Elephas maximus indicus: one gene and its partners. The protein of the gene in region 1 interacts with the protein of each later gene in a pairwise test. Links are inferred from orthologs where the notes say so. Each region holds a gene or a part of one and is shown on either strand. Other genes may lie near its edges.

Region 1 (7,395 bases):
TGGGCCAGGCCAAACAATGGGATTAGGCCAGATCACTGGGTTCTGCCAGATCACTGGGTTCTGCCAGATCACTGGGTTCTGCCAAGCAACTGGGTTCTGCCAGGTTGGTAGGGTCTGCCTAGCTGGGGGGCTCTGATGTGCCAATGGGGTCTGCCTGGCTGTCTGGTTCTGCCAGCCTGATGGGTTCTGCCAAGCCAATGGCGTCTGCCAGAGCACGTTGGGTGGTGCGCCAGGTGGGTTCTGAGTGGTCACTGGAACTGGTGCAGACCTCCAAGTACCTGAAGTCAGTGGGACCCACCTCTGATCCCCACTGCTGTTTTCTTCCACATTCAAGTTATTAATCTGCATCATCAGAGAGAAAAAAGGTCAGGGGTCACCAGATGGTTCTATGTCCTCACCCTAACACTTCTGGGAAAGCCTCCTAAACCCTCACCTGTAGTGACAGCCTGACCCACTAGCCCCAGGCTTGTCTTTCACTATCTTCCAGGCAGGAGTTTCATCTCCGAATCAGGCCAGGAACAACCCAAGGGTGGGGCCTGAGGCTTCTCCTCTTCCTGTGTCCACCACTGGCACTGCTTGTACCACCCTGGACAAGTCATATCACCTTTCTGGGACTCATCTTCCTTCTCTGTAAAACTGGGACTATAATCCCTAGCTGATAAAGAGTTACCTTCAAGATTTAATTGAGATAATTTGTATAAATGTGGCTAGTTCTAGGCCTAACACATGGTAGCTACTATCAAAACACAAATAAAATTATATCCATGTTGTAAGCATTGTCTTATCTCATCAGTCTGTGGACACTCTGAGGAAAGAAACTATCACATTTACCTCAATATCCTCTACAATCTAACAGAATACAGGCAATTACATTTTTTGTTTATAACAAATGAACAATCACAAAGAAGAAAGGAGAGAGTCCAAACCAAAGTGGACCTAGCAGGGATCTCACCTTACGGGTCCTCTTGCCCCGAATTATAGTCCGGGACTCCAGATTCTGAGCCTGGGAACCATCTGCTGATGCCTGTGCAGCTGCACCCTCAGGTTCAGAGATACCTGGGTTGGTCTCTATGTCAGCTTGGGAAGTAGCCATCTTGGCCTGGTTAACATTCTGGGTCTGGGTATCAGCTGTTGAGGCCTTGGTGGTATCATTCCAATCCTTGAAGGCTGTCCTAGTTTGGGAGTTGGTCATCTCACTGGCATTGGGAGACTGAGAGAAATTGTAGGTGGCATTTGGACCCACCGTGGTAGTGGCATTCTGGGCTTTAAAACCCATCTCGGATTTGTTGGTGGTTGCTGCCTGGGAAAAATCATAGGCAACATTTGGGCCCTTTGTGGTGGCATTCTGGGGCTTAAAGCTTGCCTTAGGTTGGGTGTTGGGCATTTCCTTGGCATTAACAGCCTGAGAGAAATCATAGGCACCATTTGGGCCTTTTGTGGTGGCATTCTGGGCCTTAAGGGCTGTTTTAGGCCTAGTGGCAGCTGCTACAACATGAATGTCAGTCATCTCCTTGGCAGACGGAGGTTGTGAACTCGAGGGGCTTGCATTCAGCCTGCTGACAGCTGCTGTGGCCTGGTTGGTAGGTGGAGCCTCCGAAATCTGGATCGCCTCCATAAGGGTCTGCATAAGCAAGGCACTGTCTTCCATAGAGGCTTCAGTCTGTAAATACGGGGTGGGGGGAGGGGATTAAATCTCTGGGCCTCTGAAGGAGGAGTGGGAGGGTGGGAGGAGCAGACAGGGGAGGTGCAGGTGGCCAGCTGGTGCAAAAGGAGGAGGGCTGAGGTGGAGACCTAGGGGGCCTGACAGGAGCAGAACCACAACAAAAGTGGTGGTGGTAGGGGCGGAGTGAGAATGAGGGTGAAGCCTACAGTAGGACTTCAGGGTCGGAGGTAGAGTGAGTTGAGGAGAATAAGGAAGGGTCGCAGGGAGTGGGGAATGCAGGAGACAGGGGTGGTGGAGGTGGAGGACGGTCTTGGGGGAGGCGGAGGCAGACTGCTCTACAAGCATCAGGACTCCAGAAAAAAATGGTTCCTCATCCAACCTGCAGTCTCTGGGCAGACTGCCCTGACTATTAACAGGGTCTCCCCTTTCTCTGAGCAGGGACTGATGGCTGAAAAGGAACGCCCCCCCCCCCCAATAACCGATAAGAATTTGAAAGTCAACAGAGTCTAGGCACAAAGAGGGCAAAATCAGATTCAGGCATTTGGGTGGCCAAAGGGGCCCAGGGAGAACTGGCGGCTGGGGAAATGGTGGGTTAGGGAGCTGAAATCTCACCTGGAAGCCGAGGAGGCCTGCACCACAGTCCATTTTCTGAGCCATGGCTCCAGTCCCTCTGGCAAGAGTGGAGCCTGGGGGGGGGTTGTGGGGGAGGAGCTGGGGGTTAAACTGGAGACGGCAAATAGGAAGGTCCGAATTGAGGGAAAGGGTCTGTGGTTTGATTACGGGGGCGGATGAAGTGCCGAATATGAGGGGAACCGGCCAGATCCGGGCGGGAAAAGTGAACTGAGTGTCCAGATGGAAATCCCGAGAAACTACTGAAGGGATTCCGGTTGCAGATGAGCGTTTTGAATTCGGGATCACATCGGGATTTGGGAAGTTGAATGGAGGTTTCGAATTAGAGGGAATCGTGTTACAGTAGAGATCGAGGTCGAGAAATCTGTGGAGATTTCGAGCGATGGGAGGGACTGGACAGGGGTTCAGATAGCGAACAGGGCTTCTGAGTCAGGGAGGATGGGGTGGGGAATGTGAATCGAGGTTTGAGGAAGGGGTTCAGAATCCGGGATAAGATGATAAAAAAAAATGGGGGCCCGCACCAGGGGGCAGATGCCCTGTCTGGGGGCTAATTCTCACCTTGCCTCAGGCCCCAACCCCAACCCCCTCGTTGTCTCCCTTCTTCAAGACTCAGAGGATCTGGATTGCAGTGCTCGGCTCTCAGCAGCCGCACCCTCTCCCTGTCCAGGAGAAAATGCCAGCGCGGCAGCTTGGGCGACCCCGCCTCTTGGCCTAATATACCACCCACCGCCTCAGGTCGTTGTGCGCATGCGCAAACGCTGAACAACCAACTAGAGTCCCGCCCGCTTTTCCAACAAAAGCTTCATCCTGAAAATCAAGATGCGCATGTGCACTGGAAGGCAGTCCCGCCCCTTTGCCAACACACCACTCCACCACCAACCAGATCGACAGTATACAACGATCCCTCCCTTTACGCTACATCCCATCCCTCAGCAGATGCGCAGTGCCTCTTGGCCCCACCCCTTGCCCCACACACCAACCCCCTACCTTTTCCGCAATGCGTCTGTGTTCTATCCCACCCCTCTCAAGGCTCCTCCTCTCAGGTCCGCGTGAATCTCCACCCCCTTGCCCGGCGCTCCTTAGGTTACTATTGATGAGGTCTCTTCTATGTGAGGTCTCTAATTGCGACAAGTGCTAGACCCAGAAAAAGGAATGGCCAGAAAGGATACACTACTGGGGGAAGCAGTTATCTGTGCCTGCCACGTGACTCTACATGGCTTCCTTACTAGCTCCCAGACTAATGTAGAACATTAGTTTCTTCCCTGCCATTTTGCGCAGCCCCAGCTGGATTGTGTGTGTGTGTGTGCGCGCGCGCGCGCGCGTGTGTGTGTGTGTGTGTGTGTGTGTGTGTAGGGGCGAGGGAGGGGCAAGCTTGTACAACACAGCAGGATCTGTCCGGGGGCTTGTTTTCCTCTCGCAGCTGCCCTAGGTGGTGGATGTCAGCATCCCAATTTTACAGATAAGGAAGTTGAGCTACAGACAAGGTGAATGAACTACACAAGGCCACAGTAAACACAAAATTTGTGCCTGGGTCTTTCAGACTCCAACGCCATGTGCCGCTGGTTGGGGGTGACAGCCCCCAATATCTGTCCCAAAAAGCCAAGCTTTGTGTTCCTGGTGGTCCAAGCTCATGCTCTGCCTTCAGGAAAATTCAGGTAGAGAACCCAGCCCCGCCCCCTGACTGCTCTATGTGGGTCCATTCAGATGTGGGAATTGCTCCAAGGGAATAGCTCCACTGTCAGGTCTCTTAGTTGTGAGTGGCATGAACACATTGTCCCAGAGGCCTCCCTGGTGCTCACTGGAGCAGCCAGGACAATCAGGCCCTTGTGCGTCTGAGCCATGGGAAACCCTAACCTAGTGTAAACCCTGGTTCAGAGTAAATGTTTGTTCTGGTTCCTTCCAGGGCTGGGGCCTGGGGCAGCTCTGGTCTCATGGAATGAAGCTGGGCTGGGCTTCAAAATTCCTGGGATGAAGTGCTGTGCCTGTCTGTCACTGGCTGTGTGAGGCCGCTCAGGTCACTCAACCTCTCTGAACCCCAGTTTCTAAATATGTAGAAATGGGAGACACAAGAACACACATGCCGCTGTGCTTCCTGGATGACAGAGAAACTCAAAAAGGCAGAAATAATAGACAGATGTGATGTAACTCAAATTAAACACCTTCCCAAAATCCAAGCCAGATCTTTGTTTTTCACATTTGTTCTGGCATGAATTCCTGCCAGATGCCTGCATATGAAAGGAAACTAATGCTCGGAAGGACAGCAACATTTGATCCCCAAGGGCCAATATCAATTCTGCCTGGTTGGATGACTTTCCTCATCTGTTGCATAGCAACCTCCTCTGTCAGCTGCCTGTTTTTCTTCAGCACTTCCTCTGTAAAGTGTCTGCAGTGGGACGTGATCAGACTCAGAAAAAGGGGTTTGAAACACCATTTTATATGTTTTCTGCCTCCAAATCTGTATCCACTCCTGACTTGGCCTATGAATTCTACATTCGTAATTCAACTGCCTACCTTACTCCTTCTATTGGATATTTCTTGGTATCCTCAAAATTGGCATGTCCCAAACTGATTCCTTTGTATATAGCCCCCTCCCCACCAACACTGTGTGCTTCTCTTCTGTTCATCTCTTTCTCTCCCCATCAGAATGTAAGCCCTTTAGGGAGATGGATTTTTGTTTGTTTCATTCATTGTTGCATCCCCAGCTCCTAGAAGGATACCTGGCATATTTACATGCTCAGTCAGTGAATCCCACCATCCAACTTGTTCAAGCAAGAAATCTGAGAGACATTCTTTTTTCTTTTCTGTATAAATTCACTTATTCTTTCCTCATTATATAAATAATGGGTGGTCATCATTAAAAATTTGAACATTACCTAAATATCTTAGAAATTGAGTAAACATCACTCCAAATTTCACCACCTTGAGATAACTGCTATTAAGATTTTTATGCAACCCTTTCATACGTCACTATATGTATACATATCTATACATGCATGTCTATATATTCTTACATAAATGGCATTATACAGGCTATGAATATTTTAAATTGCCTTCTTTTGTTTATTGCCTCCTACACTTGTCTTTCATCTCTACCATTACCTGCCAGTCATGCATTTCTTAAAATTTATTTTGTTGTTCTGTTGAGAGTATGTACAGCAAAACATACATCAATTCAACATTTTCTACATGTGCAATTCAGTGACTCTGATACATTCTTTGAGTTGTGCAATCATTCTCATCCTCCTTTTCAAACATGCATTTTAACAAGCAATTTTATATCCATTCATGCTCAAAAGTAATTTTTTTGTTTTACAAATATTAAGATCATATTATATACACTTTATGCATCTGATTTATCTTACTAATCCCCAGTCTACTTTTGATCCATTAAATTGATGCATAATATTCCATGATGTGGATGTACCACAAAGTATTAAACTGTTCAGTGCTTGGTATTGTGAGAATTTGCCAATTTTTTGCCAATTTGATGTGTATGTATTGGTATCTCCTTGTGTTTTAATTACATTTCTGATAAGTAATGTGTTGAAACACATTTCCATATATTAATGAACCTACCGTATTTCTTTTGTAAAGTGCCTGTGCAAATCTTTTGACCATTTTTCTTTTGGGTTGCCTGTCTTTATCTTATTGATTTGTAGGAGGTCTTTATACAGACCTACAGGTACTTATCGAAAACCCCTGGGGTCATCTCTATTACAAAGTTTTTTTTTTCACATTTTAGTAAGGTAATACAGCATGTACTCTATACTACACAATAGCTCCAACTGCAAAACCCAGATAGTCGTTTCTTCATATTCCCTTGGCAACTAAGAAAATGTGATCTAGGATTTACCAGTACATCAGGGGCCCCCAGGACCACGCTTATGTTCAATGATTCAATAGAAGGACTCAAGGAACTAAAAAATCTGTTAAACTCATGGTTATGGTTTATTACAGTGAAAGGATACAGATTAAAATCAGCAAAGGTAAAAGGCCCATAGGGGAGAGTCCAGAGACAAGGCATAAGCTTCCAGTTGTCCTTTCCCAGTGGAGTTGTATGGATAGCACTTAATTTTCCCAGCAATGATGTGTGACAATACTTAATGGAGTTTCGTCAACTACTAAAGCTCATCTGATCCTTGGTCTCCAGGGTTTCTACTGGGGATCGGTCATATAGGCATGGGGTGCCCATGTGGCTGACCTTAATTACTCAGTCTCCAGCCCCTCCAGAGGTCAAACTGATATTGCCTGGCTGAAAGTCCCCTCCATAAATTACATTGCTGGAATAAACTATCTGCCATGGCCCAAGACCCCAGGTGAACAAAGACACTCATCAGGCAGGCTATTTCAAGGGTTTAGACATTGCCTCCCAGAAGCTGGTCAAAGGCCAGACCTTTCTTCAGAATGCATGGGATTTGAACACCCTGGATCTGATATGTCAAAACTTTACTGCATAACTCCAGCTAACACTTTATCTGGAAGGAATGATTCAAAGATGCAAAGACAGGTAATTTATTGTCATAGTTGTGTGGTAGTAGAAGCAGCCACAAGCAAATCCAGGTTTTAGGGGCAGCATTAATAGCAGGGCCAAGGGCAGCCCCTAGTGTCCAGGGTGCAGTGACGGCAGCAGTGGTGTCCAACCAGATAGCTCTTTTGACATGGCTTTTGAAGTAGAGTTGGTACCCACCTGCTCTTAGCAAATTATTTTACTAATTCTACTGATTTTTAAGATTTTTAAAAGTGTTTTATTTTGAAATAATTGTAGATATACAGGAAGTTGCAAAGATATTACAGAGCGGTCCTGTGTAACCTTCAGTCAGCTTCCTCCAGTGGTTATATTTATGACTATAGCACATCAAAACCAGGAAACTGACATTGGTAGAATGTGTTTGTACAGTCCTATGTCACTTTAACAGATGTGTAGATTTCTACAATCACCACAGTAATCAAAATACAGAACTATTTCATCACCACACAGATCTCCCTTGTGCTACCTCTTTATAGAAACACCTACCTCCCTTCACCCACCACAGTCCCTAACCCCTGATAGCCACTAATTTGTCCTCCATTTCTCTAATTTTGTCATTCAAGTATGTTATAAA
Region 2 (7,046 bases), on another chromosome or scaffold:
AAAAAAACAGGAGCCATATCAGACTTCATTCCTGGAGACGATGCTGTATTTCAGTGAAGACTCTGGGTACCACCTGATCAGAGTCTGTGCGTGTATAAGACAGGAACAATAAAGCCTTTGAATAAGATGCTTGTGTTTTAATTGTTTTCTTACAATATCAAGATAACACATACTCCTGAAATAGGTGTCTTCCGAAATGTTTCCAGCCAAGGCATCATTTACTGTGACGTGGCCCGATTCACTGGTTCCTCAACTTACTTTGTGAGTATTGATCTGTCCTCTGATCTTCAAAATTAAATAAATCAAAACAAACAAACAAGCAAACCCAAACTCGTTGCTGTCGAGTCGATTTGGACTCATAGCAACGCTGTAGGACAGAGTAGAACTGCCCCATAGGGTTTCCAAGGCTGTAAATCTTTACGGAAACAGACTGCCACATCTTTATCCCACAGAGCTACTGGTGGGTTTGAACCACTGATCTTTCGGTTAAAGACACAAGAATAGTTACAGATAAGGAGCAAAAAACAACAACAAAAGCTGTGTCGTATAGGCCGAAGTCACACGGATTGCATCTGTGCGTAGTCTGTAAAGATTAAAATGAACTACTTCACACTCTTAATCATTCAATTGTCTGGATTGGTAAATTAAAACAATGCCATGGAATTGTCACACAACCTATCATGGCAGTGAGGACCATGAGAGGTGACCCAAAGGTACGTCTCTCCCGCCCTGATGGTGATCCTTTAGGGAGGGTAGGAGGTATGGCTGGAAAACTACATTCTGAGTCAAGCAGACACAAATAAAGACTGCCTCTACTATACTTCAGACACTTAGCAAAACTCAGAGAAAATGCACACACGTGCACACACACACACACATACCCCATTCTGACATCTTGTCATAGCATCATGTTATCAGCACTTTCACGGACAGCATTACAAATCCTTTCAAGAGGAGGCATTCCCAAGCAAAATGCAAAACCCACCCTTTACCCATCTTCATATGGAACCACAATGCTGATCTAGTCACTTCTAAATATTTGTTATGGCTGCCAATGGTTCCTTTGAGCCTTCCCACCACAGAGCAGGGGAGTTTTCACTCCTGGAAGAGCCAGCAGGGCGGATGATGAAAGCCCCTGAGCCTATCCTATATACTTGTCCTTCACATGGCAAAAATAACAACCTCTCCCTCAAAGACACCGCCTGCTTTCCCAAGTTGTGTCTAAATGAGCAAACCGATTTAACAATTTAGGAGGAAGAAGCATTGATTTATTTTTAAAAAAAAGAACAACGCACAAAGAACTGGTCAGAACACTGAATACCTATAGCATTCTGCTTGTTAGGTAATGCTGTTCAAATTGATTAATAAATAACGTAAAAGGAGTGGATGTAGGAGGCACAAGATCAACTCGTATTAATAATTTGATTAAATCCGACCGAGGCTTAGCATCTGTAGAAACACTCATTAGAATGTTCTTCTGGTGGGTAACTGGTGTAAAACACGCACGCATACACACACACGCATGCACACACGCACACAGCAAAGAAATGCTAGCAGCAGATGAGTCATATAATACGTTACCAGTATGCTCTTGGGAAATGTTTCCTGGCACAATTTACTTAATGAGAAATGGAATAAAAAAGATATTTAAAAGGATAAACCAATTTGTTCTCAAGATATTACCAAAAATAATAATAACAGGCTGTTCTCAGACTTGCAACCAAATAATCCTAAGATATATTTTCTGGAGGCAACCAACTTGATAACAAATTACCCAAATGTTCAAAACAATCTTGACATTTTATAAATGCATCTATGCCTATAATCCAGATGGAAATGGAGGGCCTTTAGGGAAGGAGGCACCTCTCAACTCTTGTGAAGGAAGTTGTGTCAACATACAAACACACATGTTAACAAATGGCACTCTGGAAGTGAGTCTGTGGAAAGCAGATAAAATGCCTACAATCCCAATAAACTCTTCGCAGAGCAGGATGGGGAAGGGAGAGGGTTTCCCATTGGAATGACAAACCCTCTGGCCCTGCCAGTTCACAGGCACAGCCACTGACCCCTTGACAGAGAGCAGAAAGCTGTCCCCCCCCCCCCGCCCCCCAAAGGCAATGCTCCGCGGATTCCCAAGCCCAGGCACAGGTACCAGTGCCAGCCCTTCTAGTAAAGTGAGGAAGACAGAGAAAGAGGGGGTCTGAGGGAAACACCCAGAGAAAAATAGACACAGCGGAAGACTGAAATGTAGGGATAGTGCAAAGCCAAACAGACAAACACAACATCCCTCAGTAAGACCTTAATTAAGCGGGGAGTGAAGAGAAGACACAAATGCCTCTACAGTGCCAACAAAGACAGCATCCTAAACCTCTTGCCTTCACCGTACATAGCATTGCCTGTGAGTTTGGAGGCAGATTTTGGGGCTATCAGCATCCAGAAATCTAAACAGCCTGATCCCATAAAGAATCAGCACAGCACAAAACACGACACAGGCAAACTTAAGGCGAAAAAAAAAAAAAACTTAACATACACACACATGCTTACGTAGATGATTTTTCTTCCCCATTAAATCACCTTAATGAAAACTACAGGCACCCGAATGCCTCCACAAAGACTCCAAACTCTTAGCATCAAAGGGTTCTGATTTTCAAATCGCCACTAGACGCACAGACAGAAGAAGGATGCGAATAAGAAAAAAAAAATACAGTTTTCAATTTCAAACTCCGGTACCCAGGCTGGGAGGCAGGCATGCAAAGTATTCAGTGAGATGCAAAACCAGCTCGGCAGGGGGTTTCTGGGCTCCGCAGAGAACGAAGGGCTCAGATCCACCCCTCCAGTGCCAGCGCATAGCCCCCCTCCCCAAGCCCCCTCCAAGGCAGGAAAGCGCAGCCCACGGATGAGGGTACCGAGTCGGTGCAGCCCCCGGGAAGCGGCCACGGAGGCAGAGGCGCGCCTTACCTGCTGTAAGTACATAAAAGTCAAGGCACACGAGAGCTGGGGACACATGCCCACGTTGGGGAGCGCCACGCAGGTGGCCCCCGTCAGAGGGTGCTGCATCGTGTCTCTGTGGTACCCGCCGAGCACAAGTGGGGACGCTCGCATGCAATCACGTTGCTCCCTGCCTGGCCGCTACAATTTTTTTTTTTCCTCTTTTTAATTTTGCTGATTATCTAAGTCAAACGCGGGTGGCTGTCTCTGTCTCTTCTCTCTTTCTCTCTCTCTCTCCCTCCCCCCGCACCCCTCGTGTCCCTCCTCCCTGGCGTTCTTTCTCTTTGGGTTTGCTAGATCCCAGCCTTGTTCTGCCTGAAACTAAGACACTTGAGAGGACCAGGAAACTATTTTGTTTTCCTCCCTGCTGGATCGTTTTCTGGTTTGTTGGGCCTGCTTTTTTTTTTTTTTTTAACCGCCCCCAAAGTGGAAGGTGCCCCCCACCCCACACCCGGTGAAGATGACAGGACCAAGCACAGGCAACTTGGATGGAAGGTAGAGAGGTTTGGATGGATACTCTCCTGTAATGCTGAGTAGGAGGCGGGTAGAGAGAAGGAGGAGGGAGAAAGGAGAGAGAGAAAGAGGGAGAGATGAAAGGGGAGGAGAGAGAAAGAGGGAGAGAGAGATGAAAAGGGGAGGAGAGAGAAAGAGGGAGAGAGATTTTGACTCACAGAGGAGGCTCACTCCTTTGGTGCTGATGCTGCCTGCCTTCTCATTTGTCAAATGGGTCCAGGGGCAGGGTTGTGTTTTTTTTTTTCCCCCTCCTCTCCTTTGCCTTTTTTTTTCCTTAACGACTCACCAAAATTCAAATTGTGTCTGCTAAAAATCTCTGCGGGGCGGGCGAGGAAGCAAGCGAGCGCCCCACATCGCCAGCATCCAGCCTTGAGCTGGACAATTCCTGTGCTCGCCCAGCTGGGACCCAGACTCCTTGCTTTTCCTGGCGGTTGGTTTGCCTGACTCCTCGAATAAACACAGAAATAGGATTTCCTCTCTTAAGAAGCTGGAGGTGTTGAGATCTGGGGAGCCCCGATTAGGGGGAAGCTGGGGCTGGGGGCGCTGGAGGGAGGGCGGTGTCTGTGCCCCAGCAGCAAAGGCAGCTACAAGCCCCGAGGCTTTTTGGGGCGCAGCTTTCGCTGGCTCTCTGCCTCTGCTGGGCAGGCAGCAGTGCGCTCAGCAAACCAACCCCTATCCTAACCGCTGGGGCAAACTGCCTGGGCAGGCGTTGAAATCAAGCCTGTTGGACTAACATGCCAGCTCCTGGGGAAGGCAAGGGGGCTTCTAATCCCAGCTCTTCTCAGATTATGAATGCACAGGCTGGGGGAGGCTTGTGTCTGATAAGAGATTACTCTGTGGGCTGCAGTGGGCAAATTAAAATGGTTTATTTTATTCTTGTCTGGCCAGCCCTCTTTGGCCAAATTAGCATTCTGCTCTTGCAGATGGGTCTCCCCCTCTCCTGTATTTTATGAAGGAATAATTATTCATTAGTAGCTTGTGTTAGTCTTTATGCGATCAAATAGGATGTGATCTGCAAATCAAAAGAAAATATTAAGACTCTAACTTGTCCTTGGTCCCCACTAGTGCACATTCTGGGCACTAGTGAGATTATGATCACTGTATAGTAGCCATATTTTTTTTTATTATATAGATTTTTGACTCAGTGATTGGATTTTCTTTTTATTTCCCGAGCAAGAGGTCAGTTCTCTGAACAGAATCTTTTCGGGTTGCGGGTTTCCCTGCAAAGATGCTTGTTGAAGGCTTGCCAATGTCTGCAGGACATGGTCACACTTTGAGAGGGGATGGGGATTCTCACAAAGGAGCATTTAGGACGTGACCCAGGGGACTGGCCACCAGGGGCTCGCCCCCAGATTCTCTGTGAGGCTCACATAGATGCTCTCAGCCACAAGACCTCTTCTGAACTGAACCATCAGCTCAGAAGTGACAACTCACTTTGAGGCTAATCAAAATCCTTTCTGAAGGAAAGGAAATTAACTATTGCACAGCTCCATTTTTTGGTTGTTGTTTTTGCTGTTTGTTTTGAAAAGCTATCAGTAACTACAAGGTCCTCGTTATGCCAAATACTAGGCCTAAACCAGATTGCTTCTTTTTACTTTTTCATTTGCCAAACCAGTCTGTTCAACCATACTGGGGCTCACGAATCCCGTCAACTGAATAGAGACACAGTAGCTAACCAAAGAGTTGGTACTTCCAACTTACCCAGCAGCTCTGCAGGTGAAAAGACCTGGCAATCGGATCCTGTAAAGATGACAGTCTAGGAAACCCTACAGGGCAGTTCTACTCTGTCACATGGGGTCACTATGAGTCGGAATGGACTTGAAGTCACACAACAACGACAGCCCATTTAGCCCCAGGTAGAAGTTGGCATGGGGGATTAGGAGTGCCTTGGGCATTGTTCTCTGCTACTTTTTTTTTTTTTTTTTTTTTTGTGGGAGCAGACAGTGGTTAGTTTGTAAAAAAATCCTTGCTCTACGTTGACTCTGAAATCCTGTTTAACAGACAAGCTCTGATTTACAAATAAAATGATTCTCTTTCTTGCTTTCATCTTTCTTTCCTTAGTCTCTACCTGCTTTTTTTTTTTTTTGCAATTCACAAAATCAAAAAGAAAGCCACTGAACAAAGCATATACAGAATACAAGGGTCTTTCCTCCCCTTCCTCTCCTTTTCCGGTCCTTTCCTTTTGCCTCAAGCAATCTGCTCTATGACAGGGTTTGCCATGCTTTCCTCCGTTCTGTTTCTTCCCTTGCTTCTTTTCTTGCCAGCACAGGGAAAGCCTGCAAATGCCCCAAGAAGAGGATAGAATTTTCCCTTTAGCTCATTTTCATAAGAAACATGATAAATAATACATGGCACTTTAATAAGACCTTATCTGAATGGTTTAATGAAAAAACAAATACATTATGTAAGGAACCAATAACGGCTCTCAGCTGCACTGAGCCAATAGTGGTCTGCCGGCCCGTTTTCTCCCCAAAGTTTAAAACCTTTTCATGGTGATTGGATTTTTGCAGCCCCATTCTGCAATAACGGCCCAGGCTTCCCTTTAAACTTATCTCTTCACAGCCCAGGCATATTGGAAGTCTGCAAAATGAAACAATGGGATGCAGACCCTCTACCTCCATCTCAAAAGGATTCTCAGCCAGGCTCCATTCTCTGGACGACCAACTCACACATTCTGACACAAGCGCATGCAAACGCGCTCATGCACAGAGGCAAGTACAAACCCTAGACACACGCCAGCCACTTAAAGAAGCAGGCAGGCAAGGTTTTTACACTCGCTAATATCACTGCCCACGGATCAGTAACACAGCATCGAGCGACGCCATGTCAAACTGCACCATACCTGCAACCTCTGCTCCCTGGATGATGAAACTTCGCTCGCCTTTTGACCAGCATCTGGGGATGCTGGATTTGAATTTGATCTCAACAGAGACTGGGAGAGAGCCACATCAATGCCACTGGCTCCTGAATGATGCTTCTACGTCAATAAATGGGAGAAGCGGGGAAAGACATAATCTTGTCTCTTCTGCGAAGAACCCCCGGGCGCTTGGACGTATGTATGTATGTATACACCTCGTACACGTTTGAGGGCCACCCTGCCTGCCTTTCAGGTACAGGGGCCCTTAATTGAATAGGTACTCACACCCTGTAGGAAGCTGAAAGAAAATGTGAAAACCAGCAAGAAACAAGATCACCTTCAAATGGAACTTCCTTATGCAGAAGGCTACCGCTCAAGTTTTAATTTGACTTCCACAATAGTATTTGTAACTTTTTTCTTTCCCTAAACTTGCCAGCTATTTGAAACAATAAAGAAACTACTCTTGATTTCTTTTTTTTTTCCTTCTTTTTTCTTTTTCCTAACCCTGTATTGTAACTTCTTAAGTGTGTCAAAATAGCAGACATTTCACTAAGGATACTTTCTACTATAGTTGTCATACCTCAAAGCAAGAGACTCCAGTTGGACAAAATGAGAGACTTTCTATTGTAAGCGTAATTAATTATCCATACTAGGATTGGCTCAGTGGAAGTGTCAAGGGGTGACTTAG
Region 3 (6,836 bases), on another chromosome or scaffold:
CTCAGAATTTCCATGGTACACTGCTGCAAATACAAACGCCATATATTGTGATTCATAGTATAAAGGTTGAGAAGCAAAGTGATGATTAACTCAAAAAGACAGTGACCTTTTCTTCCTAGAAGCTTAAAAACAAAGTAAATGTGGCAAGTAGAGAAACAACCATTAAAAAAAAAAGATAACTCTTTAACCTTGGTGCAGGATCGGAGTGTTACAGGAATTCTAAGGAGGGAGAGTCTTCCCTGTTGGACTGACCAGAAAGTGCCATGAGGAGAAGACAGGAGTGTAGTACTCTAGAACTAGCATACCACATAGATAATTCAATGAAAGAAAAAAAAAAAAAAAAAACGATAAATGTGGAGTGCTAAGAAAAGCACAATGTGAAAAAGGCCAAGAGGTGGGAAAGTGTTAACTGTCTTGGAAGAAAAGATGAACATGATAAATTTGAAAACTCAAATGAAGTCTTCAATGCTAAATGAAGGAGTATGGAATTTAAACTATCCAAGGTTTTGAGTAGAGAGAGATCATGTTTACATCAGCATTTTAGGGAAAAAAGTACAGCACTAGTATGTGGCATGGAATGAAAAGGGGAAGCTAAATTAGGAGGCTACTATAACTATTTCAGGGGAAAAAAGGCCTGAACAAAGCTGGTGACAGTAATAAGCCAGAAGCCCTGGTGGCACAAATGGTTGAGCGCTTGGTTGCTAACCAAAAGGTTGTTGCTTCAAATCCATCCAGTGGTTCCAAAGGAGAACGGCCTGGCAATCTGCTCCAGTAAAGATAATAGCCACAAAAACCCTGTAGGACAGTTCTACCCTGTCACATGGGGTCGCTATGGGTGGGAACTGATTCAACAACAATAAGCCAGAAAGTGGGTGGTTCCAGACACACTTTCAGTTAACACTGGAATTATCAGGTCAAGGGACCCAGCTAGCAGCTAGAAGCGTAGGAAAACCTGAAGCTAACGATCTGGAAATCAGCTCCACTGGATTATGGGTGTGGGCAGGAGAGAAGAAAACTTCGGTAACCTTCCATTACCTTAATTACAGAAAAAAGATCTTCACAGATTTGCTACTAATGTTAAGTTTCTAAGAAAAACCCATATTAATCTTCTGGATTTATTATAATTCATGAACTAAAATACATTTACCTGGTTGTTGCGGTTTTCCTGCAGTGGAGAAGTAGCATCATCAGGAAAAGAGCTGACATTTCTCCTTTTCAGCATCTGGTCATCCTTCTTAGCTTTCCTCAGCTCTACATTAACTTCTATTCGGCGCCGCCTCATTTCCTTGAGTAAAGAAAAGAAACATTGTTTCACCTTATTAATAATTTTCATTATCAAGTGAGGGCGTTTTTAATTCCCTCAAGTTTTTGATCCCTTGCCAAACATCTTCCCATTAAAAAGTATCATAAGAAAGCAACAGAAGGTACTCACTGTACTGTCTTTCCCCTTGTTCTTGAATCTGTTAAGCCGGGCAGCTGGTGAATTAGCATTCTCATTGGTGGACATGGTTGTGAAACAAAGGAAGAAAGCTAGATTGGGGGGTGGAGGAGAGAAAAAGAAACTCCCTTTTATCATTTTGCCTTTGCAATAATAAAATTTCCAAGCATATATTGAATCCACACTTCTATACTGGAGAAGGAATTTCACGTTTTCAGCATTACAAGATCGTTTTGGCCAAACAATAACCGCACCCCCCCCCCCCCCCCGCCCGCCCGCCCGCCCGCGGACAAGAGCTAAGAGTTTAACCAGTGTTGTCCATCAGAAATACAAAGCAAACCACAGAATTTTAAATTTCCTAGTAGCTGTATTATAAAAAGGCGATGATAAACAGATTAATCTTATTTAAGCCAAAACATCACTTAAACATGTTACCAATAGTAAAAAATGAGACATTTTTAATTCTTTTACATAGTCTTTGAAATCCACGGTGTAATTTATGTTTACAGCACACCCCAATTCTGACTACGCACATCTCAAGAGTTCAATAGCCACATGCAGCTGGCAACAACCATACTGGACATCGCAGCTCTAGACTCTCGCGGGTCCAAAACAGCTAAGTGAAGACAAAGTGGGGGAACCGAATTAACTTGCAGTTAAGACCCACGTCCACCTGGCAATAAATTCAGATCAACTGGAGGCTCTCTCCAGGAGTCTTCCTACTTTCATTGGTTTCAAATGGCCATAAAAAAGAGTGCATTTTCCACATTTGAAAATTAAAATCTGACTCATCATTAAGTTATGGAGTCTGCCGTATCATTTCCTGTCAACAATGAAAACCTGCGACGCAGTCCTGCACCCTAAGCATCTCGCAAGCATTTTAATTTCCAGAATTTCGCGTTCGAACGCACTGAATTAGGCTGCCATCAGCTCTGCCTCATTCAGGCTCAGATACTAAGGAGCAATCTCCAAAAGACGACAAAAGTAAAAACCCTCCTTACAGCTTGCTATCTTTAATCCCGTTATTTTCGTCTACGACATGATTGACAATCTGCCGACTCTTGGCCTGCTTTTTTAGATACAGGTCCTCCAACTGCCACCTCCCGCCCCAGCCCCTGGCCCCCATCCCGGGGAAGACGCTGCGGGCGAGGGCGGAGGAGAGGCAGGACCTGTCCGCGACACTGGCCCTCAGGCCTGTCTCATTCTGCCTCTCCTGGCCGCGACGCACAAAGGCTTTCGCTGCCGTTAGCCGAACCTCGGAGCCCTAAAGCTCCAGCTCCCGCATCGCGAAACGAAGCCGCTTCGACAACAAACGACGCCCCAGAGGCCTTGTCAACGAGGAAGGCCGAAGCCAGCCCCAGCGTATCCCTGAGGCCGCCTCCCGCCTCCTCCAAACAGAGCGCGCCCTGCGGGCCAGCCGTTATCGCTGCGGTCGGGCTGCGGCCTGAGTTCGTACTTACGGAGCGGCCTTAGGCTTCCACAGAAGGCGGTGCGGGGAGCTCACACGCTGCGGGCCGACTGCTCCACAGTCGTCCAACACGGCTCAGACCAGAGACGGTGTGGCTCGTGCAGCCGGCCGGCGCGATTTAAATTTCCCGGTGGCTCCGCATTCCGATTGGCTGGTTCGAGCCTAAGCTATGCATCCATTGGTGGATTTGAAAAACACGTTTGGGGGGGGGTCATAGAGCTTAGGGGAATGGGAGATAACATCGCGAGACGAGAGCGGCCTGGCGATCCCAGAACGCCTTGCAGTTGCGGTCCAGAGTGGGAGGACTCCAGATCCCGGCAGGCCGCGCGAAGGGGCGGCTCCCAACCCAGCGTGTCCGGAGGCTCGGGCCGCTCTCGGCTTCCGAAAGGCATCCCTGTAGGTGCAGTCGCTGTTGGTGTTCTGGGGGGCTGTTTTGGCCAAGTACCTCAAATTATTCTGAAAGTCATTTTTGAAAAACATCTTTATGTAAAAACATTGCTATGACTTGTTTTTCCCAGATACGACACAGAAAGGAACCGGGGGTGGGGGGCGGGATTGGAGGCCTGGTGATACAGTGGTTAAGAGCTTGTCTACTAACCAAAAAGACTGCAGTTGGAATCCATCAGCTCTCCTCGGAAACCCTACGGGGCTATAGGGTCGCTATGCGTCGGAATTCACTCGACGACAACGGTTTTTTAATAGACTTTTATGATGTAATAATTTTTTTAAAACTAAAAAATGCAACGCAGATCTTCCTCACCTCCCCCTCCATAAAACCCCCTTGCCGTCCAGTCGATTCCGAAGCATAGCGACCCTAAAGGACAGAAGAGAACTGCCCCATAGGGTTTCCAAGGAGCTTTTAGTGGATTGGAACTGCAGACCTTTTGATTAACAGCTGTAGCTCTTAACCACTGCGCCACCAGGGCTCCAAAAGACTGTGTAAGAAGCCACAAATAAAAAAGATTATGCTTGTTTCTCCACACACGCATTCTCAAACCATTTATTTTTAAATAACTTAAAATACATAATTGCAAATTTTTACCCATCTTACCAAATGTTAACATTTTGCTACTTTTGCTGTTTATCTGTTATAGTCATGCAGTTATATATATTAGTATACATATACACACTATGTGTATGTATATGTATGATTTTTACATATTATTTTTTGCACCATTCGAGGAAATCAACTCGACGGCAACGGGTTTTGTTTTAGGTTTTTACCCTTAAATACTTCAGCGTGTGTCTCCTAAGAATAACATTCTCCTATATAACCACACTGCATTCAAGTTCAGGAAATTGATTTTGATGCTACTTTTTAAATATACAGTCCATTTTCCAGCGTTAGTGTTGCCAATTGTTCCAGTAACGTTCTATGTTGTATTTTATACATTTCCGTATAAATGTTTGCGTTTTCTTGCCGTGTACTTTAAAAAAAAAAAATTCAACGATGGTATTGTGGGCCATTTTTGTTTTCTCTCTGCAATTTTTCTGTATTCTAAAAAAAGTTAATTTTAGAAAATTTATATTTTCTTTTTCACTACAAATAAATTCAAACTGTGAACTTTGTCCATTCTTGCATCCATGCCAGTCTCATTCATTTTGCAGTACCCACAGGGATTGTTCCTACTCACAAACTACCCAATCAGCATAACCCCCACCCCCTAGGTTCAAGAACATGGAAGGAATTCATGCCTAAACCAATGACTGCAGAGCATTCTCTTGGCTGCTGCAAAGGTTCAGTTGTGTGCACGTGACCTAAGTTCCCCCTGTTGGGAAGCCTATGCCTTTTGTTTGATGGCTGAAGGTTGGAAAGCTTGCTCTGTTCTGAGCAGAGGATGTGAGCCCTAGAAATCTGAATAAGAAAACTGTAGAGATGCCAAACCAGAGCTCTGATCAAAAGCCTGCCCTACCTCTGAAGGCTGCAATTAAATGACTTTGCAATAATTTGATCGGATACATTTTCATTATTGTTTAAGCTAGTTAAATTGGGTTTTCTGTTGCTTGAAAATAATCGTTTTATGTGCCTGGAGGTGTTCGACATGTTTATACACATGAACACATTTCATATCCACAACTCTGCAAGGTTGTCTGTAACGTTTCACATAAGACTAAATCACTAGCGGTTAAGAATCTTATCCAGGGTCACACAGCCAGTAAATGACAGAGACAAGACTCAGACCCAGGAAGTCTGCTTCCAGGACCCATGCTCTCAACCACTTCCATACTTGCACCTGAAAGCAGATACACATCGAAAGTGAAGGATGCAGGTGGACACTTGGGACTGTGTTGGCATCTCCTGCCTGGAGGGGGGACGGGAGGGTAGAGAGGGTTGGAAGCTGGCAAAAGTGTCACAAAAGGAGAGACTGGAAGGGCTGACTCATTAGGGGGAGGGCAAGTGGGAGTATGGAGTAAGGTGTATATAAACTTATATGTGACGGACTGACTTGATTTGTAAACATTCACTTGAAGCTCAATAAAAATTAAAAAAAAAAAAGTGAAGGATGCCTTTGAAAGATACAATGTTGCCTCAGGGAACCATGAGTCTCCCCCCTCCCCAGCCACTGAAGTTTGGATGTGCTGCCTGCAGCTCCAGATTCAGAAAAGGAGCCTGTCTGTCCTAAGCCAATCAGCACGTCCCATTTCCCAGACACAGGGATTGGTTAGGGATGAAGATGTGGCATGGTGCAACAACACTTATACTAAGGCTGCCAAGAGAGAGAAGTCCTTTTTCTTCCACCGGAAGTGTGCTGGGATGACAGGAGCCAGAGGTGCAAATCCAAGAGGTGGATCGTGGCAATATTGCCTGAATCATTCCAAGCCTGAAGCTGGTTCTGCCCAGGGGCTCTCTGGTTACATCATTTGATAAATTCCCCTTTGTGCTGAGCCAATTTGAGTGCTGTGTCACTTGCATCCAAAAGATTCTTAACTGACACTAGGATTCTTAACCTACACTAGCACTATAGTGTAAGCTCCATGAGGACAAGGGTTTTTATCTATTTTGTTCACTACTGAATTGTCAACACCCTTAACAGTGTCTAGCACATGAAGTTGCACAATAAATATTTGTAGATGAGTGAATGCTTGAGTAGAAACTTGACTATACAGGCCTCAGTCTCAAAAGATGCTGTCAGGAAATTTAAATTTGGGATGGCATAAATGCTCTCTGAAGCCAGGGGCTTGAATAAGTTATCTAGCAGACAGTAGGTACGTGCAGGTTTAATAAAAGAGATTAAGCCAAGTCGTACACCAATAGATTGGGCAGATCGCATGCTTGGTAAGACATATGGCTCCTTACATACACAAAAAAGAGCTTCTATCCATATTTTATAACCAGATAATCATATAATCAATAACCAGATAATTTTCTAATCAATAAGAAAATGACCAACAACTTTATAGAAAAATGCCAATAGAAAAATGGGCATGGTTACAGAAGAAGAAATATAAGTGACTTATAAATAAATGAAAATATCAGATTTCACTAAGAAAAGCAGTTTTTAAAAATGAGATACTGTTTTTGTCATTTTGGTGGCCAATAACATTTAGTGTAGTAGGGATTTGGCAGCAACGCGACGGGAGTAGGGATTTGAAGAAATAGATAGCTTTTCATATGCTGTTGGTGGGAATGCAAAATAGAACATTTCTGGCAGATCTACCAATATAAAAAAGGTACTAGATCAAAGGAGAATGAAGAACACCAAGGACACAAGGTGATTACGAGCCCAAGAGACAGAAAGGGCCACATGAACCAGAAACTACATCATCCTGAGACCAGAAGAACTAGATGGTGCCTGGCTACAACCGATGACTGCCCTGACAGGGAACACAACAGAGAACCCCTGAGGGAGCAGGAGAGCAGTGGGATGCAGACCCCAAATTCTCATAAGACCAGACTTAATGGTCTGAGACTGGACGGACGCTGGTGGT

Evidence for each region. The genes of interacting proteins can lie anywhere in the genome.
Region 2: the proteins of MAGED1 (region 1) and RBFOX1 interact in a two-hybrid assay, tested with the Homo sapiens proteins (2 studies listed by BioGRID and IntAct). The link is inferred for Elephas maximus indicus from reciprocal best matches to the Homo sapiens genes MAGED1 and RBFOX1.
Region 3: the proteins of MAGED1 (region 1) and KPNA2 interact in binary tests that used the Homo sapiens proteins (3 or more experiments, as listed by UniProt). The two-hybrid records come from large-scale screens. The link is inferred for Elephas maximus indicus from reciprocal best matches to the Homo sapiens genes MAGED1 and KPNA2.

What each region holds. Positions count from the first base shown.
Region 1 is NC_064846.1:116,594,300-116,601,694, forward strand, and holds the start of MAGED1 (melanoma-associated antigen D1), read right to left. Parts: upstream 3,002-7,395; 5' UTR 2,852-3,001; intron 2,350-2,851; 5' UTR 2,321-2,349; coding exon 2,276-2,320; intron 1,661-2,275; coding exon 953-1,660; intron 343-952; coding exon 1-342. UniProt on the Homo sapiens protein: Involved in the apoptotic response after nerve growth factor (NGF) binding in neuronal cells. Inhibits cell cycle progression, and facilitates NGFR-mediated apoptosis. May act as a regulator of the function of DLX family members.
Region 2 is NC_064830.1:65,287,679-65,294,724, reverse strand, and holds the start of RBFOX1 (RNA binding protein fox-1 homolog 1), read right to left. Parts: upstream 3,013-7,046; 5' UTR 3,007-3,012; coding exon 2,959-3,006; intron 1-2,958. UniProt on the Homo sapiens protein: RNA-binding protein that regulates alternative splicing events by binding to 5'-UGCAUGU-3' elements. Regulates alternative splicing of tissue-specific exons and of differentially spliced exons during erythropoiesis.
Region 3 is NC_064837.1:55,934,858-55,941,693, forward strand, and holds the start of KPNA2 (importin subunit alpha-1), read right to left. Parts: upstream 3,013-6,836; 5' UTR 2,899-3,012; intron 1,531-2,898; 5' UTR 1,508-1,530; coding exon 1,433-1,507; intron 1,286-1,432; coding exon 1,148-1,285; intron 1-1,147.